2 linked regions of the Lonchura striata genome follow. The protein of the gene in region 1 binds, or shares a complex with, the protein of each later gene. Links are inferred from orthologs where the notes say so. Each region holds a gene or a part of one and is shown on either strand. Other genes may lie near its edges. The genes, in order: CCKAR and CCK.

Region 1 (9,787 bases):
AGGTGAGATGCTATGGAACACAAAGTAATTTCTCTCTGTACATAGTAAGACACACAAACTGAAGCCCTGGCTTCAGACATGCTGGTACCAATTCACCCAATAATACATCAGCTGACCTCCATTTCCTCCCTGCTAATCGCACAGCCACTCTCTAAATTACTTAGTTGGTGTTGTGATGCTAACATCTCTTCATCTAATTCTGTGGAAATGTGGAAATCCATTCGATCTTAGCGTCATGAGGATAGCATGGCTTCTTTTGAGAGCAAAGTATCAGACAGCAGCAATCTGAAAAGTCTTCCTTGCTTTTCCCAACTCTTCCACTCTCCCACCGAGTGGCCTGTGCCAAATACTTTGTTTTTTCATCTTTAAATTGAAACTCATAACAGCTGCAGTTAACATAACTAATTCATTAATATACCTCTGTGAGATATGCTAATGCAAATCTCTTGTGGTAAAATAGTTGTGACTCTTTGTCACGTGCCTAACTGGAATCTTAAAATCAAAGACTGTGGTTCTCAGTTGTTACAGGTGAGGCTTTATTTAGCAGCTGTTGCTGTTTTGAGCTTTGTTAGGGAGTTGAGTACTGTCAAGAGGAGTTGTACCATTTTGTTGCTGATGTTATAACCTATTGGGGTTGTTTCTGGTGGCAATCCCTGATCTTTCATCTATTTTTTACAAGCCATGCCATGACTGTACATCAGAAAAATCTCAGATTACCAATACCTTAGAACATGTGATGGATTTTGACTTTGGTTGATGTTGGTCTAATATGGAAAGGTTTGCTCAAAGGAGAACATTATTAGTACCAACATTTGGTGCTGTTAATATAATCCAAAAAAAGGGATCTCCTGAGCCATGTGTTGATGCAGTTTACTTGGTGTGGGGTTCTAGCATGTAATATACCCACAGCATAAGGGCATGCAGGACTATTTGCTTGCATCTCTAGCTTAAATCCTGAGCTGTGTTTTCTAGCAAATTAATATTCAAAGGGTGAAGGGACAGAAAGAGTTGTACAACATCATGTATAGCCTGCAAAAGAAACAAACACGTTTTAAAAATATCTATCTTCCTCTTTCATGAGTGTGTATTCATTCTTCATAACACTTATGTATCTGTTACAATAAGACACAAAAAGGAAAAGGATCAGCTTTAGCTGTTCAGAGAGCATTGATGTAACTTCTGCCCTCAATTTTTAATAGTTAGAGGGCTAGATGCATGGGGAGAGAAGATGCAGCTGAGCTCAGTGACAGTCTGAGAATTGCCAACATGAGGAGCAGCGTGCATGGTGAACCATTTGGGCAGAATGAGTGGACAATGACTCATTCCAGACTTCAGTAATATCACAGGGCGTCAGAAGGATTGTTATGAAATATTTACACAGATTTCTTTGAAGCAGTTTCCCTAAATTGTGTACAGAACTTGCACAGAAATCTCTGGAGCAGAAATCCCTTTTGCACCTGGAAGCCCATAGAAACTTAACCATGATTATGAAATTGGACCTGAGGATTTACAGAGACAATATGCTTTATTCATCCCTTTCATCAGAGAGAGTTGAACACTGTAGAGAACTCACAGCTATCACCTGAGAGGTCTCATTTCCTCTTTTCTGAGGAAGGTGGTAGGACAGGCTGCCTGGATGCCCATGAAGGCATCAGGACCAGCTGTCTTGCATCTCACAGGCAGGCCAGGTACTATAAACATCCAGGAAGTTCAAACACTATGAATTTGCACTTCAAAACAATGAAAAGTGGTCACCTCCAAACAATTTAAAAGATACCTTGAGATGTGTCTTGATACTAATGTGACCTAAATACAATAATTTCATCATTGAAGACCTGTGGAGTCTTCCAGAGATTAATTAAGCAACACACCATGTAATACGTGCCCTTTGCAGAACCACTGCAGGGGCAGCAGGAGCACCTTGTTTGCCTTTGATCCCATCTATGGTTGGTGAATGGTATTTTGGAAATCACTGATAGTTCAACAAGGTGCTCAGAAGTAAATTTCTTCCTTATATTATTTAGTTCAGGTCAGGATGAAATAAATAGTTTAAATGCAGCTACTGTGAGACACTGATAGGACTACGGCTCAGATTGCCTTGAAAAGGTTTATGATAAATGTGTTCATGAAAATTTTGTGCATTCTCCAAAAGTGTGGCTTAGTTCTAATCTCCCTGTTATTTGTGCCTGTGAGAGTAACTCCACTGAATCAGAGGCCTAATGCCAGTATCAACCTGGTGAGTGAGAACAGAAGTAGACCATGACTTTCCATATATGTTTTTTCTAATTGTTTTATTCAATTCACTTGTCAGGACAAAAAAGACCTGGTAAGAAACATAAACCTATTTGTAAATTTGATACCAGCTACAGATATGCTTTTCCAAATTCATCATTTTACAATTAGATTTTCTATTTAACTTAAGTAAAGATCTTTGTCAAATTAATGAAGAAACAGAACAGAGTATTCTTCAGGAAAAAAGAATGAGGTAACTGTTAAATTGATGTGGTTTAGTTTTGGATGAGAAAAGATATATATAGATAGCAGGAAATGGCAGAGCACTGCAACTGTTTTGGCTGCAAGGGCAGTGTGTTCATTATATGACATTACAGGGGAGAAAAGGATTAAGACTAGAATTAAAAGAGGCAGATTCTTTTGTTATCACGGATTAGCAAGCCTCCTTCAAATATAGGGAAACATATTTTCGTATACTTTTGTCCAAACTATCAACGCAGTCATATTAAGATACCTAAATTGTTTCTTAATTAAAACCAAATTTTATTAATAAATCAGTGTTGCTAATAAAACAGCCAGCTCCAGAGAAGTTCTTGCCTAAAACTTTCAACATCCCAAATAATGCATAATTAAGTACAAGTGGACAGACACTCGGGTTTTTGTTTCTCCTAAATGATAAAATTGCATCTGCAATGAGCAGGCATTTAGTTAAAGCCTCCTTTTTTTGTCTCTTCTGAAACTTGCAGGGAAACAATGAGATGACACTGATCTGCATGGAGAGTGATCTACCAAGCAGTTAGTTAATGTAGTGGAGGGAAATAATATTACAATGGCAACTCAGAAATGTTCAAACATGAGTACTATTGGCTGTACATTTGAGTAAATCTATGCCAAATAAAAGCCTAGAAAAACAAAACTCTTTGATCTCAATATGTTTAATGCAGAAATCCACTCCAAAATGGGAGTCAAGAGTTCATAGCAAATTCTTCCTCATTTACTCTGGCAATTTAACTAGCAGATGCTGAATCGAGCTCAGCCCAGGACCAGATGGTATTCATCCAGAACTTCTAAAGGAAATAGTAAAATTATTAACTATGATGTGCAATCTATTGTTTAGAACTATGTTGTTGCCAGGGAAAAAAATTTGTGTAAATGTGATTCCAATGTTTAAAAAGCACTCCGTGGGAAGTAAACCCTTGAAATTGTGAGCCAGTCTGTAAGCCTGGCGTTCAGAGATGGAAAACTGATGAGGACTCTAATAACAGATAAAAAACTCTGTACAAATTTGTAGAGGAAAGCTGCACCTTATACACTTGGAGTCCTGAGTATGTGAACAAGGTGGTCCAGTTTGTTTTAAACACTAACTCCATAGTTGCTGGGATTTGCACAGAGTATCATTCCCTCACACATTCTGCTCTTGCTTTTGGTTGAAATTAGTACCTTCTGGAGTTCGTTATGGCTCAGTACTTACCCCTCAGCTGTTCAAGCCTGTGCTGCACCTGCTGTCTCCTACCACTGTGATCCAGCTCCTTGGCTGCCTCGCAGGGTGAGCTGTCCAGTGCAGCCTGGTGAGTTTGCCTGTTTGACAGCTCTGTGCAGCCTCCGGCCGTGGCTGCTGGCCTCACTGGCTTCACCCATCTTGCATGTGCTTAGCAAGCATGTCTTGACACTGAAGTGCCTTGAACCTGCACTGGCTTCACAGTGTTAACCACAGCCCTGGCCAGCCTCTCGCACCCAGAGAGCAAGGTGGGACTGTGCTGGGTGGGTGGGTATGGGCCACTGATGGCCAGCTGCATCCAGGGCTCCCAGAGCTACAAGGGGTAATTGAGAACTTGGAACTTTCAATGTAACTTTTCAATCTACTTTCCTACATCCCTATTCCCATTATTCGTACTATAAAGGAAAACTGGCAAGACTGGAAGAGAAAGCCAGGCTTTCCAGTCTGTGTATATCAGGTTTGAGGGGCCAGGATTTGTTATAAAGAACCTGTTACTGCCCTGCTTTTAAGTAAAAGGGATTTTAAATGTGAAATTAGTTTTTCATTCAGATATAGTAGAGATTAATTCCTAATATTAATATTTATTTCTGGACATAAACAAGCTATATACTGGAAAGTAAAAGCCCATGACTTTGTGAAAACACCAGTGAGGATGATGTTTAATAAAAAAGCCAAACTTTTAAACCACTGAGATCTTTGTGTTTTCCACTGATGTGTAAGTAATGTGCCATGATTTATCAGGTTTATCAAGTTTGTCGAGTTGTGTACAAGTTCTTGCACAGAGGAAATGTATAGGCTTCTTCTCATATTAACTGACAATTCGAATATAGTTTCATAAGATTTGATCCACTAAGTGAAATTAGTGAGTTTTTCTATTGACTTGCTGGGGTTTGGATCAGGCAGGTACAGCACTTTTGTATGAATCTAGCACTTTGCCAATTGAGATAAATGTAGCTGCTTTTATTTTTCTGAGTCTACCCTATCTTCACTTTACTCTGAAAAATATGAAGACAAGAATCATTTCCATGTAAGGAATGCCAAATCTTCACTATGTTTTTCTCTTCTCTGCTTTTATTAAGCAACTCATACCATTTTAAATGTTAGTTGAGAGACAGATTTATCACTCTCCTCACTCACTGTGTCTCGTTTATAGGCTGTGACCTCACAGGCTGACTCTCAGAAATAGTGCAGAGACATGAGTAGAAGCAATCTTGCAAGGGGTTAATGCTGTAATCTTTTTCTAGCCTGTTTATAATCCCAACAGTAGTGCAGTAACAGAAGAGGGTGGATCTAAAAAGTACCCGGGGGGGATATATGTGTGTGTGTGCATACGTGTGAGTGTGTGTGTGCACACGCTCTGCTTTTCTGAGGGGCCGTGTGTGCCCCTGGAATAAATCTTGTTCAGCCAGAACAGGACTCTGTGCTGGGTGCTCCTGCTGGAGAGTCAGAACAGCTTCCTTGCACAGCTGCCTCTCTTGTATTTCTTCTGAAGAATTCATTCAGAAACCATTTGTTTACTGAAAGCATGGGCAGATAGTTACAAACCCACCCTCTTCTTCATCAAAGCTACCCTGTGGATACTGAAGAATGGAAATAGTTGATACTAGTAGCTTCCTTGGGAATGGTACCAACATTACTGATTTCCTCTGCAATATCATCTTGGAAAATGACACTTTTTTCTGTGTGGATGATGCACCTTATCCTTCTAAAGGTATGTATGGAAAATTGTTTTTTTCCAGGCAGTTTTAGTTCTAGCTGGATGCAGAGATACTGTAGAAAGAAAGAGCTATGCAAGGCATTTTCTCTGAGAGAGTGAAAAATCAATTGCTTGTTTTTAAGCTAGTATGAGAAACAGGTAGCAAAAAATTTAGTATGTGCTGGTTTTCCAAGTTCAGAATTGAACTAGGACAAAATTTGAATATAATGCAAAAAAAACCCCACTAGCACTTTGGAGCACGAAATGCAAATATCTCTGCTAAGGACTTGGAGAAGCATGATTTTTACTCAATTCAATAATGATGGAGTGATCAGATCTGATACCATGTATGAAAATGATTTAATATGAAATCATAGCACTCTGAAGCTGAAAAAAATTTCATATATTAAAATGTGTATTGATTGCTTGATCTTTTCTTACCTTTGCATAAAATAGGATCTCCCATGGTGAGTAAGTGGTGCAGTCAGTAGCATGAGAAGCACATGTTTTAAGAAGTTGTATTTGACTCTCCAAATGTAGATTGTATTGCTTATATTGTAGATTAATGCTATGCAATTTAGCATTAATTTAAGAATTTCAGCACTTTCAGACATTTTTTGTTTGTGTAAAGACATAAACCTTCATAAAATTGAATACAGAAAGGCTTTTACCTTCTGATTAAAGATTGAAATATATAATCTGAGTTCAATACTATGCAATTGATCTTTTCTTGCGACAATTTTCAGATTTGCATCAGATAATACGGATTCTGCTGTATTGCTTGATATTTCTGCTCAGCATTTTGGGGAACATTCTGGTGATTACGGTGCTGATAAGAAACAAACGGATGAGAACAGTCACCAACACATTTCTGCTGTCACTAGCAGTCAGTGACCTGATGCTCTGCCTTTTCTGCATGCCTTTCACCCTTATTCCCAACCTGCTAAAAGATTTTATTTTTGGAAGTGCTGTTTGTAAAACTGCCACATATTTCATGGGTAAGTCTGGGATGTTTATACTTATTTTGAAGACTGACTAATGAGACAGGTGAGAAGATATTTAAAGATCTATAAAAGTCTGATTGTTTCCATCCATCATTGAAGTTACTATTATTACAAAGAAACAACTTCGTAGTGCAAATCTTCATGGTTCTGGTGTCCTTGGTCTGATCCAGCAAAACAGAGGCGCACACACAGGTAATTTTAATGACATACAGAAGTGTTTTGCTGGATGTGAAGATGTTGCATGATCAAACTTTAATGAGGAACCCAGCACATGCACTTGCTTACCCATCACCGACAAGATTCTTATCAGTGTTCAGATCACCCACCAGAAATGATGGGCTTGTACACCCTCAGCAAGGGCAGAATTTACCCACAGATTTTGGCAGCAGTGATACATAAAAAAGAAAAGAAATGGGCCAAAGTAGGTGTCATTTGCAGAGCTAAAAGTTAGCACAAGTACTCTTTGCAGACAGACCAGGTGTGATCAGAGCTAACCAGAAGACCATAAAACTCAGATATAGATTTTAGAGGCTGACTTTAAAAAGCATTACTTTTGTATGCCTTGTCATACCCCTTTTGGTTGTGGACCTAGGCTCTAGGATTTGCAAAATGTCTTGGTTGTGTATGTGTGTGTAAGTGATAGTTTGTCTCACTTTAATATTTCCTCTGCATTTGATAATTTCTTAACAAAAAAAAAAATCCAAACAAACAAAAAAAACAAAACAAAACAAAACAAAACCAATAAAAAAAACCCAAAAACCAAAAAAGAAAAAGAAAGAGAAAGAGAAAAAGAAAAAGAAAAAGAAAAAGAAAAAGAAAAAGAAAAAGAAAAAGAAAAAGAAAAAGAAAAAGAAAAAGAAAAAGGATTATGTAAAGTTTTTGCTGCTTTGGGAGCCCCTTAGTTGATTAGAGAAAGCGCTGGTCCCCTTTCAACCTGTGCCCTTGAGAACTTTGATGTAATGTGAAAGTACACACCTAAAGTGTGCGAATGGGAAATCAACATCTTTTTGTAGATAAAACCAATAAAACTAAAGGCCATGTTTAAACAATTATAATGAATTGCTGGCAAAAATATCCTAAAACATTACTGAAGCTTTGTCATCTTTCTCTTATTGCACACAGTGTAAATTACTTTATTAAAAAATCCAGTGAAATAGACCAACATAAAGTTTCCTATTATTAAGGTGTTTTATTTTAGGAGTCAGAATGTGAAGATTTTCCACTAAATGCTCAGGTAACAGAGGCATCACCTGACAAACAGACACTGACAACCATTGCATCAACTATGCTCAATTTTTCATCTTAAAATGTCTCATTTTAAGATGTAGAAAAACAAATTTTCAATTACAGATGATTTCTGTAAAGCAAACCATAACAATATTGGCATTTGATAGTCTGACACATATTCACAAAGACAAATAAAACTCATTTACTGAAAGAAAAATTTGTGGCAAAGTTAAGAGGAAATATTTATAATTTAACAGTGGTGAACTTGGGCACCTCAATGACAGAAACACATACAACCACACTATACTTTATAAAATATGAACAGAAAAAATTGAGGGTACTCGAAGGACAAAGATTCTGCTTTATGACTTCGTTTCTCCTTGTTTGTAACTCCATTACCATCTAATTAAAAAGTTGTAATAGGATTAACTCTCTTGAATGAGAAAATCAGATCACAAGTGAAGCAGGACACTCATAAAAATTAAAACAATAAAAAAAGGACTGTGAACATCTGTGTTAAGAGGGTAATTAACTGATTTCAAATGCTTTGTTTGAATTTCAGTGCAATTAGTGAACAAACCACAGTAGCAAAGAGAATAATTAAGAGTAAAATTGTCTTCTTTCCCTGTTACCAGAATTTTATTATTTGATAGTGTGTATTTCTTCTTGGACTTTGGGAGTAAGAGAAGTGCAGAGCAGGAATATCAGTCTGGAGCAGTCTGGAGACCCAGACCCACTGCCCACACATTCTTCACTGACTTCATCAGTGTGGTGTTTATAAATATTTTTGCTTATAAACAGTTTGCTATATTTTTAAATTTTTGTATGCATACAGCAAGCTACTAAGACCATTTGAACAAAACATAAGCTTTAAAACAAGAGAATAACTTTTTTCTTTATTTTATATGCATAGGTGTCTCTGTAAGTGTCTCCACCTTCAACCTGGTTGCCATATCTTTGGAGAGATACAGTGCCATTTGCAAACCACTGCAGTCCAGGGTCTGGCAGACAAAATCTCACGCTCTGAGAGTGATTGCTGCGACCTGGTGTGTGTCCTTCATTATCATGTCACCATACCCAATCTACAGCAAACTGGTACCTTTCACCAAGTACAACAACACCACAGCAAATATGTGTCGGCTCCTTTGGCCAAGCGATGTCATTCAACAGTCTTGGTAAGAATAACTGGCTGTTAGCAAATGTGTAATTACCTGCTGGAAAATGGGATTTTGTGGTAGCAATAAGCCTATGGAAAATCAAGCATTAACCTTCAGCAAATGTTTGCACTCTATCATTCTTATTTAGGATGTAAAAAAACCCCAACATTTTTAAGCTGCTTACATTTTGACGTTTGAATGACTTTTCCTTTGTCACAGGAACGACTGCCCAACATGGCAATGATTCTCACGCCATGGTCTGCTAAGCCCCAACTGTCACTTTAAAGAAAGCATCTGTCATTTGTAGTAGGAATACTGCTTTCACTCATTTACACATAAACTTCAACATTCTCAGAGAAATTCTTGATTAATCTTTGAGAAACACGGACACACCCCTCCGTGTGCTGCCTTGCCTGTTAATTTGTTTGAAAGTTCTTTGTAGCAGAGAAGTAGAACATGAGGCTGAAAATGTCTTATTTGAAAATCCTTTTGGTTGCTTATGAAGAATAGGCACAGAGGGAAGTGGGGAAAGACATGTTCCCAGTCCTACACATCCAGGCAGGGTAAACAGCAGCACTATCAAACAGCAATAGTACTTAGACACGGTGTCCTTGCACGTTGACTGAACACTGACTGGCACTGAGACAGCGTAAGATTTTTTTTTGATACTGAAGGTCAGTTGGGAAAAAGATTAAAGTCTGCACCATTTTGGTAGGATATATCCACCAAGAGAGTAACTTTGTGTTCATGCTTTCAGTAGTAGTCTCAGGTATTTGGCAGCATGTGGAGGAAGGGTACAGGATGAAATTCTCTTCTCTGTGTCTGCTTACAGATTCCCAGGTGTGTTACTGAGTTTGCACCAAAGTCACAGGGATCAGGAGAGACACAGGCTCATGGATGCATTTAAACATCATTATTTCCCCAACTTGTCGCCACATCAGAGAATCTGTCTAGGAGAGCAGCCTATGTGAAA
Region 2 (9,897 bases), on another chromosome or scaffold:
TATGTGTGGTAGCAACAAGCAAGAGAAGCTCCAACATAACCCCCAAAGTACTGCTGAAAGCATAGAGAATTTGCCAGCAACAAGCACCTCATATATCTTTGATATTTTTATCTAGCACATTGATTTCCATTTCCAGTTTTCAGCTTGCACAAAAGCCCCTATACTGCGGTCAGTTTGGAAGATACATATAGCAAGTTCCCACAGAAAATCAGTTTGGTCTTTCAGAGATGAAAATAAACAAACACACAAAAAAACATATAAAAAAGCAAGTGATTTGGGATTGGGTGGTCTCATAGAAGCAACTGTGATTTTTTTCTGTTCCACTTTGCCATATCTTCTGGAAAGTACACGGAACAAAATTTGAAAACATCACACAAGTTTTCCAGTTGTTCTACAGGAAACTTGCATACCAACTGTCTGAATTTCACAGGACACAGGTTAAAATCTAATTTTCAAAAAAATCCAACCCTTCTCCTTGGAAAAGGGATTTTTCCTCTTATTTTCCTTCTTCACACAACTGCAGGATAGTGGGTAACTTTAATTACAATCCATTATTTTGCATTAGTGCACATAGTTCACACCAGGAGTACTCTTTTGAAACAGACTTCTTTACTGTGAGGCTGGTGAGGCACTGGCACAGGTTGCCCAGAGAAGCTGTGGCTGCTCCACTTCTGAAGGTGTTCAAGGCCATGTTGAGGGGCTCTGACCAACCCGATCTAATGGGAGGTGTCCTTTCCTGTGGCAGCAGGGTTGGAACAAGATGGTCTTCAAGCTCCCTTCCAATCCAAGCCAGTTTATTTCACTATGATTATTCCCACGTTATATTCTTTTGTTTCCATTGCAGAACAGTCTGTGAATGTTCAAACATCCTCAGCACCGCTCTGCTGATCTGCTTCTATGGGGCCCTTCTTTAGGTATATTATTCAGGGACTAATATATTAGTTTGATCACTGCTCTGTGAAAGGAGGTCAGAATTCTTCAGGCAGAGGACCCAGATCCCTCACTGCTGGTCACTTACCCAAAACCAAAATTTCTCACTTAGTTTTTGGGTTGGCTCTAAGCAGAGTTTACATTCCTCTCAAGTGGAAGAAAAGAGACTACAATGAAAGCATTTACATAGAAATTACTGAATTAAAATTTTAAATATTTGGGAAAAGCAAAATACCAAAAATTTATTGTCTGAATCAATGTTAAAATACAGCAGAACAATGTGCTGTCTTAAAATATATTCTCTACTTTACATCTACAATGCAGTTGGTCCTAATAATCTGTTCACCAATTCACCTGGTAATTCCAGAAAACCATTCCATTCCCTTCCCTGCTATCCTCTGCCAATTATTCCCACTTCACTGTAATCCTCCAGAGTGACACTCCATCATCTTCACATTAAAACAAACAAACACCCAACAAAACCCAAAACCAAACAAAAACCCACATTAATTTGACTAAATATAGAACAGAATATTACCTATAAGTGTCAGGGTCCAGATGGAAGTAAAAATACCCTGCATAGTGATAATCAGAAAAAAATCTAATACTTAAAAGAAAAAGAAGGTATTTCTCGTGCATGTCATGCACCTGGACATGAAGCCCCCTGGTGCCACAGGATATCTCCAAGGCTGCATCTCCAAGCTTGATGCCACTCCAACACTCACAGGCAGGCTATGCTCCAGCTCTCAGCAGAGAGACAGGGACATGAGCACCGTGGCTGATGCTCCAACTATTGGTGCCAGCCATTCCCATTGCAGGACAGACATAAAGAAATCTCTCCATCCCACTGTTCCCATGCTGCCTTCTTGCTCCAAAGCTCCCAGCTTTGTGCTGGCACAGCACAAAATGAATACTTAACCATACACACTCTTTTGCCTCCTCAGCTAAACACGAGAAAACCTTTGGCAGATAAATAGAGAAAGCAATTGAGGATAGAGGTGTCTTGATTGTCAGGAGGAAAGGTTAGAGAAACTCATATCCTTTAACAGACTCTTGCCAGAAGACAAATCTTTAAAAGCCTGCAGTATCTAAACGATTGCATCTTTCAGCTCCTCCCCAGGGATGTACCTATATTAGCATTTACTGCATTGCAGGGTTCACTTTAGGTTTAAATTTGTTTTGCATATATACTTGGGTTCTTACAATATCACTCAAGCTCTGCTGCAGTCAAAACACTTTCCTTCCTGGTGCTCTAAGGCTGAAGCCTTGTGTTAGAGCAGCCTCTGTCTCACCCCACCTGTGATAGTGCCACAAGGCCCTCCTGTGGCTGACACTCTCCAATCCATGGTGCACGTCTAGGCCCAGCACCTGACAAAAACACTGGACCTGGAACCTAGAGGTCACTGCAAATTAAATCCCAATTCCTACCTTTTGTACCACATCAATAAGTAACATAATACATAGTCTGAGTTTCTGCAGGCAACTCACCTCAGAGTCCTGCTGTTGTATTTGCTCATGCCAAACAGGCTTTCTGGTCTTCTATGTCTGCTCAAAACAATTCTAAAATGCCATTAATTAACATATATTTACCAAGGACTGAAACTTTCCTACAACTTCAAACTTTCACTGAAGAGAAAATAAGCCAGAAAATAATCACCAAGGACTGTACATACAGGTACCTGTAATACAGGTATTAAAGAATTCAGTTAGGAAAATCCAGTGTTCAAAAGTCAATTAGCCAGGCTATAGATCGTGCAGCATTGCTGACTTTAATAATAATGACATTATTCCTGTTTCCTTTATTCTATTTCATATGGCATTGCCTTTCTGTCTGTTCATGGGCACAGCTAGGGAGTTTGTCACACATATGCACACTCATACACACTCCATTTGTCCAATCCCAGATACATTTATAAGTGAACTGAGATTCCAAATAAGCTCGATGTAAATGTAGTGTGTATTTGTTCAACCAGGCTAATATGTCAGACTTAAATGCCTGCATTTATATCTGTCTGATGTGAATTATTCATGAGTGTATATTAGCAAGCGGTCTCTCTTTCTCATCTGTTAAGCTTTGAGCTGGTCCCTTGGGAGCTCATTATCTACAGTGGGTTTCACAAGGGCTTGATGTGACTCTACCAGAATTGTTATTTTACCTTCCCAGAAAGCCTGTGATACTCTGGTTCCCAGACACCTACAGTTCAATTCAGAGTCGACTATTTAATTGTCTAATAGCAGTGAGTATCTTTCCCATTGAGCCAAAGTAGTGAAATTGAATTATCTGGAATGTTACCGAGATTTTTTTCCAGAGACAGACAGAGCCATTGGACAGGTACTGCTGAAATAATTTCAGGGCTGTTACTTTCCCTAGCAATCTGCTTCGACTAACTTTTCCCTTTTCAAAGGAGGTTTTGATTTTGTTTTTTAAAAGCACTGCGGGATGATGACGCTGCCCGAAGCCAGCGCCAGTGTGAGAGATGAACGGCAGCCCGCAGCTCAGGTGCCGCATCCCGCTCGGCAACACCGTGTCAGCAGCTGGAAGGCGGTGAGAGAGCTTGTCCATCGCCATCTCCGCCACCTCCCAGCCTCGCACCACCAGGGTGACGGGACACGGGAGCCGCGGCATCCCTCTCCCAGCCGTCCGCTCCATCATCACCGGCGCCTCAGCTCGGGCGCGGCCGGGCATCGGCAGCCAGGGCTCCCCGCGCTGAGGAGGCGGCAGCAGGTCGGCTTTTCCCCGCTCGCACGGCACACGGCACCGCCCTGCCGCGGGATCTCGTGACTTTTCCCTGGATCTCCGTCCCTCGTGCCGCCGGATTCCCCGGGGTGCGCGGGGCCGCGGCGCCCTCTGCGGGCCACGGCGGGAAGGGCGCGGGGGGTGCGCGGGACGGCGTGAGGCGGGACCGGCGCTGCGGGAAGGACGGGAAGCAGCGCGCTTTTCCCCCAGGAGCCCTGGGTTAAGAGGTTAAGAGCACACACGCCCCCCGTGCCCTGCCTTGGCGGATTGGAGCCCTCTCAGCCGCCGCTTGGGCACGGCCCGGCCGGCGCTCCGCACCCCCGCACCGTCCGCACAGCACAGGCGGCTCCCCGGGGAGCCTCGGTGTCTCGGGGCTGCCCAGCTCCCTTCCTGCAGAGGGAAAAGCAGCCCACCCACTCTTGCCTCCAAACCGTAAACTCTAAGGCACAGATTCGGCGGAATGACGCCTGAGCCCAGAGCTGGCTCCGAGGAGCGGCTGCTCCCGGGGGCTGAGCTGCGGAGAGTTTCGGGGTTACCGCACGGCTGCCCCAGCCGGCGCTGCCCGTCCCTCTGCGGCCTCGGCGTGGCAGCCCGGGCAGCCCGAGCTCGAGGGCGCTTCCTCCATCCCCGAAAAGCAGGAGGCGGGAGGGCGGCACAGTGTCCGAGGCTGCTGCGGACACACCTGGCGAGCATCGCCTCGGGGCAGCACCGGCCCGGCCGAGGTCGCGGGAAGGGACGGTGTTCCCTGCAGCGGCGGAGGAGACTCTGGTAGTTCTGTGGTCAGCGAGGGAGAGCCCACGCCGAAGGCATCTCCATCCACGTCTTTTGCGGGGATCGCCCATGGCTTTATGCTTTGCTTTTTAAATAAAATGAGTGTCCCGTCTTCCCGAGCAGATGTTTAGGAGAGGAAGGGGAGGATGGAGGCATTTGTCACCGCGGGCTCAGGTCACCGGAGGCCTCAGAGAATGGAACCCAATGCCCCAGACCCCGCACCTGCCAGCGCCGGTAAGCGCGGCCAGGGCGAGCCTCCCCCGCCTCCGGGCGGCTCCCGACTGCCGGAGCTGCCGGTGCTGAGGGCATGAGCCCCACCTGGAGCCTCCGGCAGGGGACGGAGGTGTGGGCATACACCGGTCAGGAGCATTTTGATTGCCCAGCTGCAAGGCAGCAAGGCGCTTCCCTCGGGGAGGGCCGGGAGCGGCCGTCGGGGCCGGCCCGCGGGGCAGCGCCAGCCCCGCGGAGCCGCGCTCCTGCGCACCCCGCGCACCGCGGCGGGGAAGGAGCCCCGCTCCCCCCGCGGAGCGCACACACCCCCGGTGCCGGTCCCCGGGGCGGGGAGGGGCGGCACGGGGGGCTGAAGCGGGCGGGGGCCCCGGCTGCGTCAGAAATGTGTAAACACCGCCTCGGTGCCCGCCGCTATTTAAGCGGCCGAGGCTGAGTCTCCCCCGACTTCCCTGCTTGGGCACGCTCGGGACTCACTGCTCCCGACTCGAGAGGGACCTTGGAAAAGCGCAGCGGAAAGGTAGGGAGCGCCTCTTCTGACGGCGCCACTGCTGAGGGCGGGCAGGCAAAGGAAATGGGGGTGCCTGGAGCTTACCTGTGCGGCGGCTCGGCGGGCATCCCGCTCTGTGCCGGAGGAAACGCTTCCCGGCGGGGAAGAATTCCGGCCGCTCCCGACGAGCGCGGGCAGCCGGGTGGACCCCAGCGCGGGGTGCGGGGAGCGGCGCGCAGGGCTGCCCACCCTGGGCAGCTGGGAGGGGAACCGGCCAGCTGTGGTGAGACGTGGGATTTGGAAACCACAGCAAAGACATGAGTACTTAGATATGTGTGTGTGTGTGTGTGTGATATATACATGTATGTGTGTAAAAAATACAGGACTCGGGACAGCTGAAAGGTGCAATGCACCATCAGTCTCCGAGTACCCAAACCTAGACGGGTACATCACTAATAACCACACTGGAGTGACATTTTGACATTTCAACTTTCTTCACTCATCTCCTGAGAATATTTTAAACCCCCCGTGGTTTATATACCGTGAATTATTTTGACTAGAGTATGTGTTGGCTAAATAAACTTAATTTTATCCCTTTTTAAAATTTAAAGGCTTTTATTAAGTGTACGGTTAGAGAACTGAAGCAGTTCAAAAAAATTTCATGCAGCTGAGATAATCCATGTGTATTTATAAGTGAAAATTACCCCATAGCATGAAGTACTAGGTAGTTTGTTTCTTCTAAGAATTGAGAGCAATTTCACTGTTTCCAGGAAAAAAAATACCATTTCAGCTTATGTGATAAAATTATTTAGAAAACCAACATTGTTTTGCTTAGTACACTGCTTAGCAAGAAAGCAGTAGAAATCTAAATTCTCTTTTTAAGATGAAGAAGACTATTAAGTTGCACTTTATTTCTTACAGCTTTTAACTATACAGCTTTTACCCCTCCAGCTATTAGACCAAATGTTTTGGGGCAAGAGTATTCGATTTTGGTTTTTCTTTCACTGCAGCAAGATTTTGGTTTTCTTCTTTTTGTGTATGATAGGATGAAACCTCTTGAACACTAAAGTTCAAATCAATGAAGACTGGTAGAATAAAGGCTCTTCATAGAACTTGTCAAAACTGAGTATCTATAATAATAGCAAGGTTTTAATGCAATAGCAAAATACTGAAATATTTGAATCACGAGTTTTTTCACAGAGATGGATTCGAGTCCATTAAGTTTTTATGAAATACATCTTCAAAAAAAAAAAAAAAAAAAAGCAATTAAGAATCGAGTAGATCAGGGAGATACAGCACATACTAGGATCGAAGAAACAAAATTAATTACTGGTACCTTCCTCTTTAGCAAGGATATTTAGCTATTCACATGTATATTTTCCAACTTAAGACAGATCCTGCAGGTACACACATTAAAAAAGACCCAACACGAGCCTAGTTTGCTCAGAAGCCACCATCCCCAATGGAAGATGGGGTTAGGGGCTGCACAAAACGTAGTCAATCTGATCATGTAACAGCCCCCTGTCCCTTTTCTCCCCAGCAATGTACAGCGGGCTATGCATCTGCGTGTTCCTCGCCGTGCTCTCGGTGAGCTCCCTCGGACAGCAAACTCTGGGCTCGCTCGATGGGCATCCTCTGCCTGCCGAGCTGGAGCAGAGCCTGCCGGAGCATCAGCGGCACTCCCGCGCCCCGGCGGCTGCCGGGCCCCTGAAACCCCTGCAGCGGCTGGATGCCAGCAGTGACCAAAGAGCCAACATCGGCGCCTTGCTGGCCAAGTATCTCCAGCAAGCCAGAAAAGGTACTGCTTACAGCCTGCTTCTGTGCCGCTGGGATTTCCTGCAGGGGTTCCTAGGAGTTGAGATAACCCTTCTATCATTTAACATGTATTCCTAGAGAAGATAGGTTTTTCATTTTGCCTGCTTGTCCCTGAAGTAGGCAGCATTTCAAATGCTCTCTCCCAAACCCTTGCCAAAAAAAAAGGTTTATTTGACTGAGAGTCATATAAAGATAACTGGAGAAAATGTCACTGACCTTTTAGGTTATAGTTCAGCTTTTATTTTTAACTATTTTCATTGCCTTATTATTTTGGTGCTCTTTTCGGTATGTTGTATCTCAGATAAAATAATTATGTTTTCCTTGAAGTCTCTCAATTTAGTTAAAATACTCTCTTCCTCCTTCTTTTAAAGTTAGAAGAGCAGGAAGACTTTTCTGAGGATGAATGCAGATCAAATGGCTAGCCTCACTTCAGTCAGAAATCCCTGTTCCAAGGAAATATTCTGAGTATTGGATTTTTCATATATTTGTTCCCAGAGGAAATGATGATAGCATGAAAGCTTTCAAAACACTGAATTTATATTTATTAGTGCAATAATTAAAATCAATGATAAGCAAAAACATATTTGCTTCCACACACATTAATTCCTGGTAGGCTTTCGGTCTCGGGCAGCCTGGGAACACAATCTTGCAGTTATCTAAAACTGTCTCTGTGTAACAAGGACATGAAGAATCAGTAGAGGAGTGGGATTACAGGACATTCTTATAATGAGATTTATTAGCCACTTGAGGAAACAATTGTATTGCATGAGAGAAAGAGTAAAGCTATCCCTGTTGACACCTTACAGAATATATCTTATATAGGCAGAAAAGCATGCCATTGGTGCTACCAGTAAAAATGATGGTCCAAAATCATTGACCACTGAAACTTCCCCAAGAAAACATTTTTCCTTTTGAGCTGTCTCATCTCTGTCCTGCTTGGTGTCTCAATAGAGTAACACCATGGGCAGCCTAATTGCTGTGGCCTTTTGGCTGCCAACCTCAGTGAGAGCCACTAGAGAAATTTTGTTTACTCATGAAAGCTTCACTCCAGCCTTTGCCCTGTTCTACACAGAAAAGACATCTAAGAAGAAAAGAGGATTTCAAGAGAAGCCAGTAATTAGGATTAGGATTACCTAGACATACAGACATTGAGAAATTAATTCACACCTAGCTCCAGACTGTGCTTAGGATAAAGTTCACTTTATATAAGAAAGAGCTTTCTCCACATAATGCAGATCATTTAACCCTCACCTCTTGACAGCTTCCCTGCTGATCTCTATGCTCAGCAAAGTCCTATGCGTATATGTGATGGTGGTCTGCAATTAAGAGATGCCACATCTGGTTTTTGTGCATTACATGTGCAGCCATACACACTCCTCTGTGTACTCAGAACACAGCCAAATTAAAAACAACAGAAAAATTAATTACTTCCAATAGTGCCTGGAAGATTTCATCTCATGTTAACGATTTGCATGATATCCATTAAGAAACAACTTTTAGCTGTTCATGCAATTAAATGGAGAGATAATTCAGATATGAAATTCCACAATTCAGCACTGCACTTAAGGCTGTTATGGAATAAGACTGTTACTGCAGCAGTCTGCAAAGCAGAATTCTCATTACCTTTCCCCAGCATAGTCATTGTTGCCCACCCACATGGAAACGGAAGTCCTCATTCTAGTTTATATAGCCATTATATTCTCTTAAATATGTGGTTGATATTTCCAAATAGATTAACCAGATAAAGCAAAAAAAAAAAAACCAAAAAAAAACCACCCTTTGGATTTAATTTTTTTTTTGTAAATATTAATATGAGGGACATTTTCCTGCATATGTATTATTGACATATATAATTAATTCTAAAAATAGTCTGGAAGCAGATGATGAGATTCTTGTGATGTGACTAGACTAGTTAGACTCTAGTTTGTAGATGTAGTTGTTGGAGAGAAAATTCACAGGAAAACCAGTATTTATTTAAATTGTAACCTATATACAGTGTTCCCATCAAAACATTATATTCTCATTTAATGTGAAGACTCTGGACAGTACTTCAGCAATCTCTGCAGAACACTCACACCTACTGTATTAGTCACCTAATATCTAAACCATAATAATCACTAGAAAATTCCAGAGAGAGCCCGGACTTTTGTTAGTGTTAGCAGTCACTAGTAGTAGCATTTGCCCTGATGAAGGGCTGGTTTTGTAAAGTATTTCTAGTTAAATCAGTGATAGAGCTAAGTTCTCTCAAGGGCTTAGGGATTGATGGCAGTCCTGTAGCTGAACTGCTACAACTTTGAGTATGTTTGTCATACACTGATCCTGCAATACCCACATGACATCTCTAGTGGATTCAGGAGAGGTAATTAATGTGATGTTAGGAAATTTGTCACCCAGGCTTTCAATTATGTTCATCTGCAGGCTTTCAGCTTGAATCTGGTGCCATGCAGAAGAGATGTTGTGGCTCTCAAACCAGTGACAGGCACATTTAATGTCCTCTAAGGAGCCCTTGGCTGGCCAGACAGTAGTGGCACCAGGGGAGCCTTTATGGCCCTCAGGTCATGGCAGGCTCAGAAGTCTCTTAAGCATCGACATCTGAGTGATGGTTCTGCACTGCCTGAGTCCTGCCTGGTTATTGTGCTAAGGAGGCATTGTCATTGCCTTAATTACACTTCTTGAATTATGAATGTGAACTTCATGGCATTTAATGGCATGAGCTTCATGAGCATTTAATGATAGACATTCTATTCTAGGGAAAATTAATTTTTTTTGTCATTTTGTTGTAGGTAAATGTCTTAATGGCTTTTTTGTATGTGTACCTTCAACTCCCTGCAACCACTAACAAAGCAATGCAGCTGCTTTTTGTTTCACTGAGTCATGTTCATTATAAAGAACTACATGAGGAAGACCTTAAAATATAAAAGTTCAG

The links.
Region 2: the proteins of CCKAR (region 1) and CCK are in contact, whole or in part, in a cryo-EM structure (PDB 7MBX), measured with the Homo sapiens proteins. The link is inferred for Lonchura striata from reciprocal best matches to the Homo sapiens genes CCKAR and CCK. Residues at the interface, in NP_000721.1 of Homo sapiens: Cys94, Phe97, Asn98, Pro101, Asn102, Lys105, Asp106, Phe107, Thr118, Met121, Gly122, Val125, Tyr176, Phe185, Asn194, Met195, Cys196, Arg197, Phe198, His210, Leu213, Leu217, Ile329, Phe330, Ala332, Asn333, Arg336, Ala343, Glu344, Leu347; in NP_000720.1 of Homo sapiens: Asp96, Tyr97, Met98, Gly99, Trp100, Met101, Asp102, Phe103.

Annotation. Positions count from the first base shown.
Region 1 is NC_134606.1:18,734,613-18,744,399, reverse strand, and holds the start of CCKAR (cholecystokinin receptor type A), read left to right. Parts: upstream 1-5,317; coding exon 5,318-5,441; intron 5,442-6,172; coding exon 6,173-6,424; intron 6,425-8,570; coding exon 8,571-8,832; intron 8,833-9,787. UniProt on the Homo sapiens protein: Receptor for cholecystokinin. Mediates pancreatic growth and enzyme secretion, smooth muscle contraction of the gall bladder and stomach. Has a 1000-fold higher affinity for CCK rather than for gastrin.
Region 2 is NC_134603.1:112,404,443-112,414,339, reverse strand, and holds the start of CCK (cholecystokinin), read left to right. Parts: upstream 1-5,066; 5' UTR 5,067-5,186; intron 5,187-6,696; 5' UTR 6,697-6,698; coding exon 6,699-6,954; intron 6,955-9,897. UniProt on the Homo sapiens protein: This peptide hormone induces gall bladder contraction and the release of pancreatic enzymes in the gut. Its function in the brain is not clear.